2 linked regions of the Neurospora crassa OR74A genome follow. The main gene of each other region encodes a partner of the protein of the gene in region 2 in a complex. Links are inferred from orthologs where the notes say so. Each region holds a gene or a part of one and is shown on either strand. Other genes may lie near its edges.

Region 1 (4,153 bases), on a different chromosome or scaffold from region 2:
CTCACACACCTCGATGCTGACGGGATCCACCGATAAATCGATGCTAGACGTGTTCAACGGCGAAGTCGGCCTGCGTCTCTTTACCGCCGTATGCAAGCACCTCAAGCGCCAGCGCATCTCGACCGAGGGCGCCATCAAGCTCATTGCCGACGTGAATCTCTACTACGAGTACATCCGCACCTTGAAAAACCAAGACCTGCTAGCATATTTCAAAGCGCTGAGGGAGTTGAGTCAGATTTACCTGATTGATGCTAAGCATCATGCCAAAGAAATGGCGACCATTATTGCGGATAACGAGCGGTTTAGTGGCGTGTTTAGAGCCGAGGAGGTGTACGAGTATGCGGAACGAAGGGCGGATTGGTATAATGTGAGGAAGGAGGTGGAGAGGGCTATGTATGGGCTGGAGTGTTTGGTAATGTGAGGTTGTAGGGAGGGACCATCGAAGGGTGTTCCTTGGTAATAGGAGAAAGAGTGTGGAGGAAGAAGATTTAACGAATAGCGAGCATCTTTACTTTTTTTTGGATTAAAGAGCATGATAAAAATAAAAGTACCTAGAGAAAATAGGATATGAGGGTTATATCAATCAATGACAAAGCATCACATACACATTTTCCGCTTTACGAGCTACATGTCAGGAGACTCTCCCGTAGATGTGATTCAAAACCGATTTGATGTCTATGGACTGATGATATGTGTGATGCGCCCAAACGCCTTTCTCTTGCTCTATATTGTCAATGCCGTGCATGCATACTGTATGTGACCTTTCCAACCCAGTGTATCCGTTTCATAAGTAGATCATGCCTTCTCCAGAAATGCTTGTCATCATACTTCAGTTGTAACCCTCGTCCATAGCCTCCTCACCTCGCGGTGCCAAAGTCCAACTTCCTAGCGACCTTGGAGCCGCGCACATCGTCGTCCTCCACCATACCATTCCGTCTCTTCAAATCCGCCGCCAACTTCTCCTCGGCCCCTGCCGTCTTCTTCGGCAGGTCATGCTTAGGCGTCGGCTTGGGATCTGCCTTCCACCACCTATGCTCCAGCATCTCCCTCGCCGTGATACGCCTCCTTGGATCCAAAACCAGCGTCTTGGTCAACAGATCCACGCCATCGGACCCGACTGCGCCAAACCGACCCATGTACTTGTCCTTGCCCGCCACGGGCACCACGTCGCTGGGAACCGTATACTCCTTCAGCTGCGTAACACCAGGCCAGTTCTCCTCCGTCGGCGTGCCGATTTCCCTGCAGATCAAGGCGATCTGTTCAACCTCCGAGTTACCAGGCAGGTAAGGGGCACGAATGATGAGCTCGGCAAACACCAGACCCACCGACCAAATGTCCACGGCACCCGAATAGTGGCGGGCGCCGAACAGCAGCTCGGGAGGACGGTACCATCTGGTGATCACGTTCGCCGTCATTCGCACGCCGGGGTCGGCAAAGCTCCGTGCTAGACCAAAATCCGCCAGTTTGACTTCGCCGTCGGCGGCGATCAGCAAGTTGTTGGGCTTGATATCGCGGTGCAGCACGTAATTGTCGTGACACCACCAGATGGCGCGAGTCAGCATGCCCATCCAGGCTTTGATGTCGGCGGCGCCGTAGCGGACGTGGTCAACGTCGCGGATGAGCATCTCGAGGTCGCCGAGGGGAAGGTATTCAAGGACGAGGTTGAGGTTCTGGTCCTTGGATGAAAAGACGGAATGTAAGATGATGATGTTGGCGTGGCCCCGAAGCTTTTGCAGGTACTTCATTTCGCGGATGGCGTCGGGCGCGATGCCATCTTGGTATTCCTTTTGGACTTTGATCTTTTTGATGGCGACTTGTGTTGAGGAGTCGAGACGGGAGTGGCCGAGGTAGACGTTGGCGTAGGTACCTTCACCGAGTTTCTTGCCTGTTGCGCACGATAATATGTGTTAGTTCGATAAACTCCCACTGGAAGAGTTGGTATGACCGAGTACAACGCACCCTTGATGTATTTGTTCTTCTCGTCTTCGTTCATCTGTTCCATCAGATCCATAGTCGGGCGGGCTAAGGCGGCGATCTGCTGGCCCCGGGCCGACCGTGGAAGTCCCCCGCTTGGGGTGCCGCCGCTGGATGGCGGAAGGGATTTCGGTGGCTGGAGCGCATCGGTCGGACGCGCAACAAGAGGGGAGTTCGCCATGTTGCTGGCTGGTTCTCTCGGGTGCTTCAACCCTCGGGCGGACGGTGTAAAGTGATGCCAAAACAGTCGATTACCTACTTAGTCCAGAGATCGCGGGGAAAAGACGGGCTCGATGGGAAGAGAAGGTCGGGCGTCAACGGCAGATCAACGACCGGTGGCTGTTCAGTTGTTGTTTTGTTATTGTTGTTGATGGTGTTGGGCAGCTTCGTAGAGGCAGCGTTGCATAGACGGAGTTAAGATAAGGACGGAGGATAAGGGAAGAGAGAGTGGGATTAAGCTTTGGCAGATGGATGCGCTGTGATGGATGGAGTTCGGTGGAAGGGCCCTGTCAACCAGTGGAGGCCCGGATCCCCGTATGTCTTGTGGGTCCGCTGCTGCCCGCTGGTGTTTGGAGACTAGAGCGATTTCCATTTTTGTTTCTCAGTCATCCCGACATATATAAAAAGACATCTGTCTTTGAGGGTAGAAGGTATCAAAACATCCGCAGTGTTTCTTCACATATCAACTTGGATATCTTATCATGATATATATGCATATCACCATCAAGGGAACCTCTGCCGCGGTGCCGCGCGACGGATGCCCTGCCCAGCCCAGCCCGCCGATGACACCGTCACACCGTCAAACTCGTTTAGGTAAGCACTAACAAGCAAAGACCCCTGTAGCCGTAAGGATAGACCAGCAAGAGACACGCTAAACCCCGAAAGTCTCAGTGCTCCACAGGGATGAGCAGGCGCCTGGACCCTGACGTCACTTCTCACCCAACCAAAGTGGCAGTGTGAAGGCTTCTTCCTCCTCGTGGACGGGCGTCGACATCAGTCCGCGCGCCGGGCACAAGCCGGAGATCATCCGTTGGGCTAGGATTAGAAAAAAATAAAGAACAATGATGAAAACGAAACCCATGCCATGGCAGAGACAAGGAAGTAATCCGCGAGAGTAAGCATCATAGCGTGTCTAGATTACAATAGACTCCAGAAACATAACTCCGGGATAACCCTTTAAGGTCCCCCTTGTGCGCAGTCCATCTCATCTCGTCCTACTTACTCCCCTTTTGACTTTCTTTTTTCCTTGTGTCAATCCAGAACTTCTTGTAGTTTGTTGTTAACGAACTTCCACTCGACCTTGGACACGCAAGCAACAAAGCGTGGTACATACATACCTAGCACCCAAACAGTCGACTGTGGCTGCCGAGACAACCGAGCTTCCAACATTCTTTAAGCTTCCATTGTCAGCATCTCAACCCTTGGGTATTCTTTACTACGACTACGATTTTCAGGTCTCTTAGTTACGACCATATACACTTCGTAACGACGGGACGTGCTTCGTCCAAACTCCTACACGCTCGTTCCTTGTTCCTGCATCTCTGCTCGTGCATCTACACCTAGTGTACTAGCGAAGCTGCGGGCGCACAGAACCCGTGTTACATCATATTCTGTACACCAAACCACCTAGACATCAGACAGAATAACAAACTCAGTCAAGATGTTGCGAGGGATACTATCATATTGGGTAAACCTTCACCTTCACCCCCCATCCATCCTTTCCTTCTTCCCATTCTCATTCCCATTCCCCCAAGCTAAGCTAACACAATGCCCCTTTTCCAGATTTTTCCAATAATCTCCGGCGTAGTCTGGCTCGGCACCCTCCTCGGCCTGCTCATCTACTGGTGCACCGACGAAAACCGACGTCACTATGCCTCCATGGACGCGCGGCAAACCATAGCCTACATCTCCGACGTTGGCGCCTCCACCTTGAAGCCCCTCTTCATCGCCGGCTGTTCCGTAACCACCGTCTTCCTGGACCTCTCCTTCGGCGCCGACCGCTGGCTCCGCCACAAGGGCCGCCTGGTGCCCAACACCACCGTGACGGAAAAGGTTCTTTCGGGCATAACCATTGTGTTTGCCATCGTCGGCACCTGCGGCCTGATCCTGCTGAGCATCTTTGACACGGCGCGATACCCCCGGCTGCACGATATTTTCCTGCTGCTGTTCATTGCCGGGT
Region 2 (3,769 bases):
CTGACAGCCGCGTAACGCTTAGCTCTCTTGATCTTGGATTTCAAGGGCTATACGGCCAAGCGTATGTCGTTGACAGGCACACTGCCCCGCATTTCTGTCATTCTCTTGTCTTCCTTATGGCTTGTCTGGTTTGTTCGGGATGACACGAACCGGCAAGTCACGCATCTAGCGCGGCGTTCCTTTTGCTTTTTGTTTTATTTTCTTTTATTTTGTATTTTTTGAGCTCAGCTCTTTTTTCTCACCCGCCTTCGTTATTCGATTCGGCAATCCTGATCTTTCGGTATTGTTGCCGCGAGTCTTCTGACGGTGCCCCTCCTTAGTCTACCGAAAGGACAGCCAATGTTCGGGTAAGCAGGGCGGTTTGATGCTCGTACCTTCGAAATGGGTGGCAATAAGGCAGTCAAGGATTGACTGTGAAGAGATCAGGCTTTTTTTTCCGCCGTCGAGTGCTTCTTAACGAGCAGGGCCAGATACAAGGCTTAGCAGCGCAGCGCAAGGGGGAGGGGGGAAGAATAGTTGGAATGGAACGCTACATAAAAACGGTGGAATGGGGTCCGGGCATCTCGAGATAAAGGAGTGAAAGAGGTATGGTATGATAAATGGTCATACCATCAAAACTTTCAGGATTGGCTGCCAACACTCTCTCCAGGAATGGCCAGCAAGGGAGGCATACACATTTTTGCAGTAGGGAAGCCTGGAGGCTCTTTTTGTTTGGTAAATCTTAATCTATATATTTTTTTGGGCATTTTTGTGATCAATCGACGCACTCTTATTAGTCTGAATTTCTTTTTCTTCTTCTTTTCTCCATCATCATCGTCGTCCCAATCCCTCACACAAAACGTGGTCTTCAGTGACCTTGATACTCCTTACAAGTAGACAGATGGCTTGATGGGTGGCAAAGAGTAGTGAATGTACTGCAGTTCGCCAAGTTCTGTCTTATGTGGCTGCTGGACTGCGACCATTCGCATAATGAATTTCGAACCCAGAAATCCACAGCAGACCCGAATATTTGCGCCCTCTAAAACCACCGAGTCTGAAGTTGATCTATATGATGCTGGTCCCGCCTCATGTGTGTTCCTAAATCCAGATCCGTCGGAGAGGAAAAAGAAAAATATTCAATCGCTGAGTGAACGCCGTCGCTATGCAACAAAAACACCATTACCGCCAACCAAAAGGCCGGGGCATACCGGTCCAGAACCACTCTCAGTCCAAATCCATCTTATCCGCGTCAACCACAGCGGCGATCCCCGCCGCCATGCTCGTCTCTTGTGACAGCCCAATACCACTGCCGACCTCCTTCTCATCCTCAACAAACACACCCAACCCAGCAAACGCTTCATACAAGGCGCGCGCCGCAAAGTCGTCAAAGCTGTACCCACCAGCAACGTGCTGTCTGTCCAACCGGTACTTCTCCATAAGCGGGTGACTCAAGCCTCCATGTAGCTTGTACCGACTAGGCGCGAAGTCCATGCCTCCAAAGGGGTCGTACGGGCCCTGTGGCGCCGGCGCCTTCGGCTTCTCCTTCAAGCCGCGGATGGACAAACGCTCAACCTCCGACGCGCCCGTGCCCATTCCCGTTGTTGCGATGGCAGGGTTGGAAGCTGTTTCAGCAACCCGATTCACCTGCCCACGCCTCTTTAGCTGTACCTTCGTCGCCGGCTCCGCTGTCATAGCAGTGGTTCCCTTGGCCAGGTTATCCAGCTCCATTTCGCGACTCCTCACCCTCTCTCTTTTCTCCGCCTCCGCCTCCTTGATAGCCTCAATCCTCCTCTGCCTGACAGCATCCCTTTCGGCTGCCAGCCTCACTCTTGAAATCTCATCCGCCTCCCTCCCCGCCTTCTTATTCCGTTCAATATCCGCCCTATGCTCCGCCTCCCATGCCTGCAATTGCGCCTCCGCCTGCCGTCTCCTCTCATCCGTCCCATTGACAAGTTCAAACGTCAAATCTTCCACCATCTGCAAGTAATTATTATAATCCTGGAGCGTCTCAAAGTCGTCCTCGACTTGGTTGAACACCGCCGCCACGCGACGGCGGATGTCGACCTCGCGCTCGACGGCCAAGTCGCCGAAAAAAGCCGAGCGGAAGCCCTTGCGACGGAGCGTTTTGTTGCAGCCGGCGTGCGGACATTGATTGGGTCCGTCGTTGAAGAGTCGGTTGGCACAGTTGAGACACATGGAGTGGTAGCATTCGGGGTTGAAGACGAAGACGATGTCGGGGTTGAGGTACTTGCGCGATTTGCAGACGGGGCACATTTCGTCTTCGAAGCCGAGGGGGTCGAGAGGGCGCGCCATGGTGGGTGGTTTCTTTTTTTTTTGGGGGGGGGGGGGGGGGGGGGGGGGTTGTTTTGATAATTTCGCTTCGAGGAGACGGGGATCGATGTGCTGAAGTGGGATTTCCAAAGGTTAAATGATGGCCAAGAGAAATGTATGCTGAATTATAGCGAGGAGTGGGCGTTTCCCTTCGAAGGGACAGTAGTCCGTATCTGAGAACTCGGGACGTCTCTTGATGTGTCGGTGAGTGAGTGGCGATCGCGGCCCAAATCTTCTTTTATATCTGTTTGGTGATCGTGATTTGGCGACGAGGACTTGTACTCGTCTTGTTAGGTGATGAAATGTTGTTCTAAAATGCCAGCTCGGCTAGGCAGAAATTCCGGGTCACGCAGTCATGTATCAACGGTGGATAGGGAAGGTGATGAAAATCAACCAAGTGGAAGTCTGGGTGAAACCCGAGTGAGATTGACGATGTGGTGAAAGAGGGACTGATAAGAGTTATTATGCTTGGGCTGAATAATCCTTGTTTCCACTTGGCCCCCAACCGCGCCAGCGCTCCAATGGACGCTACCCTGGCGGTGCAGGGTGGGGCTTCCCAGATCATTCACAGCACGGCACTCTGCCGCGCTCATCTGGCAGCTCTGTCTCAGGGGACTGGACGCGGGCAAGCGTGGGGTGAGCAGGGGCTACCAGGGCAGTGACAGCAGCCGCTCGCGGGCAGCTCCTAGGATTGGGATTGGGCGGCCGCAGCCGTTCCATGCGGGTTACCTGCCCCTCCAGAAATTCGGTCATCGCGTTCAGGCGCGTTCCATCGTCTTCTACTTACATTACCGCACATTGCACCACTGCACCACTGCACCAAGCTGCCGTCGTTGCCCAATATCTACACCGAATTCAACAATACCACCTTCAACATGGCTGACAAAGGTGCGTTTTAGAGCTCAACTCCTCTTGCTCCCAAGACCAGAAAGTCCATCCGCCATCAACAGGTCCCACTAGTCAACTGACCAAACAATGTCAGACGTAACAGAGCTCACCCCCGCCGAGGAGGCCGCTGCCCGCGCCAAGGAACAAGCCGAGCAGGAGGCTCTCCCCTACAAGTGGACTCAGACGATTGGCGACGTCGACATCACCATCCTCGTCCCTGGTAACCTAAAGGGCAAAGATATGGTGGTTGAGATAAAGAAGCAGTCTCTTACGGCTGGTATTAAGGGTCAAGAGCCCGTCATCAAGGTAACCAACCTACTTGCCCACATATCTACAAATCACAACCCTTGCAACTTTCCAACGCCGCCTATACCATACCACCCAATGTCGCATGCCGAGTAGCTCGATTCTGACACCTCCCACAAAACCAGGGCGACCTCCCCCACCCGATCCTCCTCGACGATTCAACTTGGACGCTGTCCCCCGCTCCCGCCGGTCAAAAAGCCCTGGAGATCCATCTCGAAAAGCACAACAAGCTCGAGTGGTGGCCGCACGTAGTCACCAGCGCCCC

The links.
Region 1: the proteins of NCU02587 (region 2) and prk-3 are in contact, whole or in part, in a cryo-EM structure (PDB 6XI8), measured with the Saccharomyces cerevisiae proteins. The link is inferred for Neurospora crassa OR74A from reciprocal best matches to the Saccharomyces cerevisiae genes TFB3 and KIN28. Residues at the interface, in NP_010748.3 of Saccharomyces cerevisiae: Phe260, Asn261, Gly262, Asp263, Glu265, Ala266, His267, Ile282, Leu285, Lys289, Glu290, Phe291, Ile292, Ala293, Ser294, Gly295, Phe296, Asn297, Tyr300, Glu303, Arg304, Thr307, Glu308; in NP_010175.1 of Saccharomyces cerevisiae: Leu111, Arg115, Tyr118, Arg122, Phe124, Ile154, Pro155, Ala156, Pro157, His158, Ala179, His181, Tyr182, Thr183, Ser184, Trp229, Glu231, Ser234, Phe235, Pro275, Gln276, Val282, Leu285, Phe290, Lys291.

Annotation. Positions count from the first base shown.
Region 1 is NC_026505.1:1,998,958-2,003,110, forward strand, and holds prk-3 (serine/threonine-protein kinase), read right to left. Parts: upstream 2,655-4,153; 5' UTR 2,156-2,654; coding exon 1,960-2,155; intron 1,886-1,959; coding exon 858-1,885; 3' UTR 652-857; downstream 1-651. Other genes in the region: NCU03658 (secretion pathway protein Sls2/Rcy1), read left to right, coding at 1-421; NCU03660 (FK506 suppressor Sfk1), read left to right, coding at 3,635-3,661, 3,757-4,153. UniProt on the Saccharomyces cerevisiae protein: Catalytic component of the TFIIK complex (KIN28-CCL1 dimer) which is the protein kinase component of transcription factor IIH (TFIIH) and phosphorylates the C-terminal domain of RNA polymerase II during transition from transcription to elongation after preinitiation complex (PIC) formation, thereby positively regulating transcription.
Region 2 is NC_026501.1:2,825,013-2,828,781, forward strand, and holds NCU02587 (RNA polymerase II transcription factor B subunit 3), read right to left. Parts: upstream 2,293-3,769; coding exon 1,204-2,292; 3' UTR 682-1,203; downstream 1-681. Other genes in the region: NCU02588 (nuclear movement protein nudC, variant 1), read left to right, coding at 3,186-3,198, 3,293-3,504, 3,630-3,769. UniProt on the Saccharomyces cerevisiae protein: Acts as a component of the general transcription and DNA repair factor IIH (TFIIH or factor B), which is essential for both basal and activated transcription, and is involved in nucleotide excision repair (NER) of damaged DNA.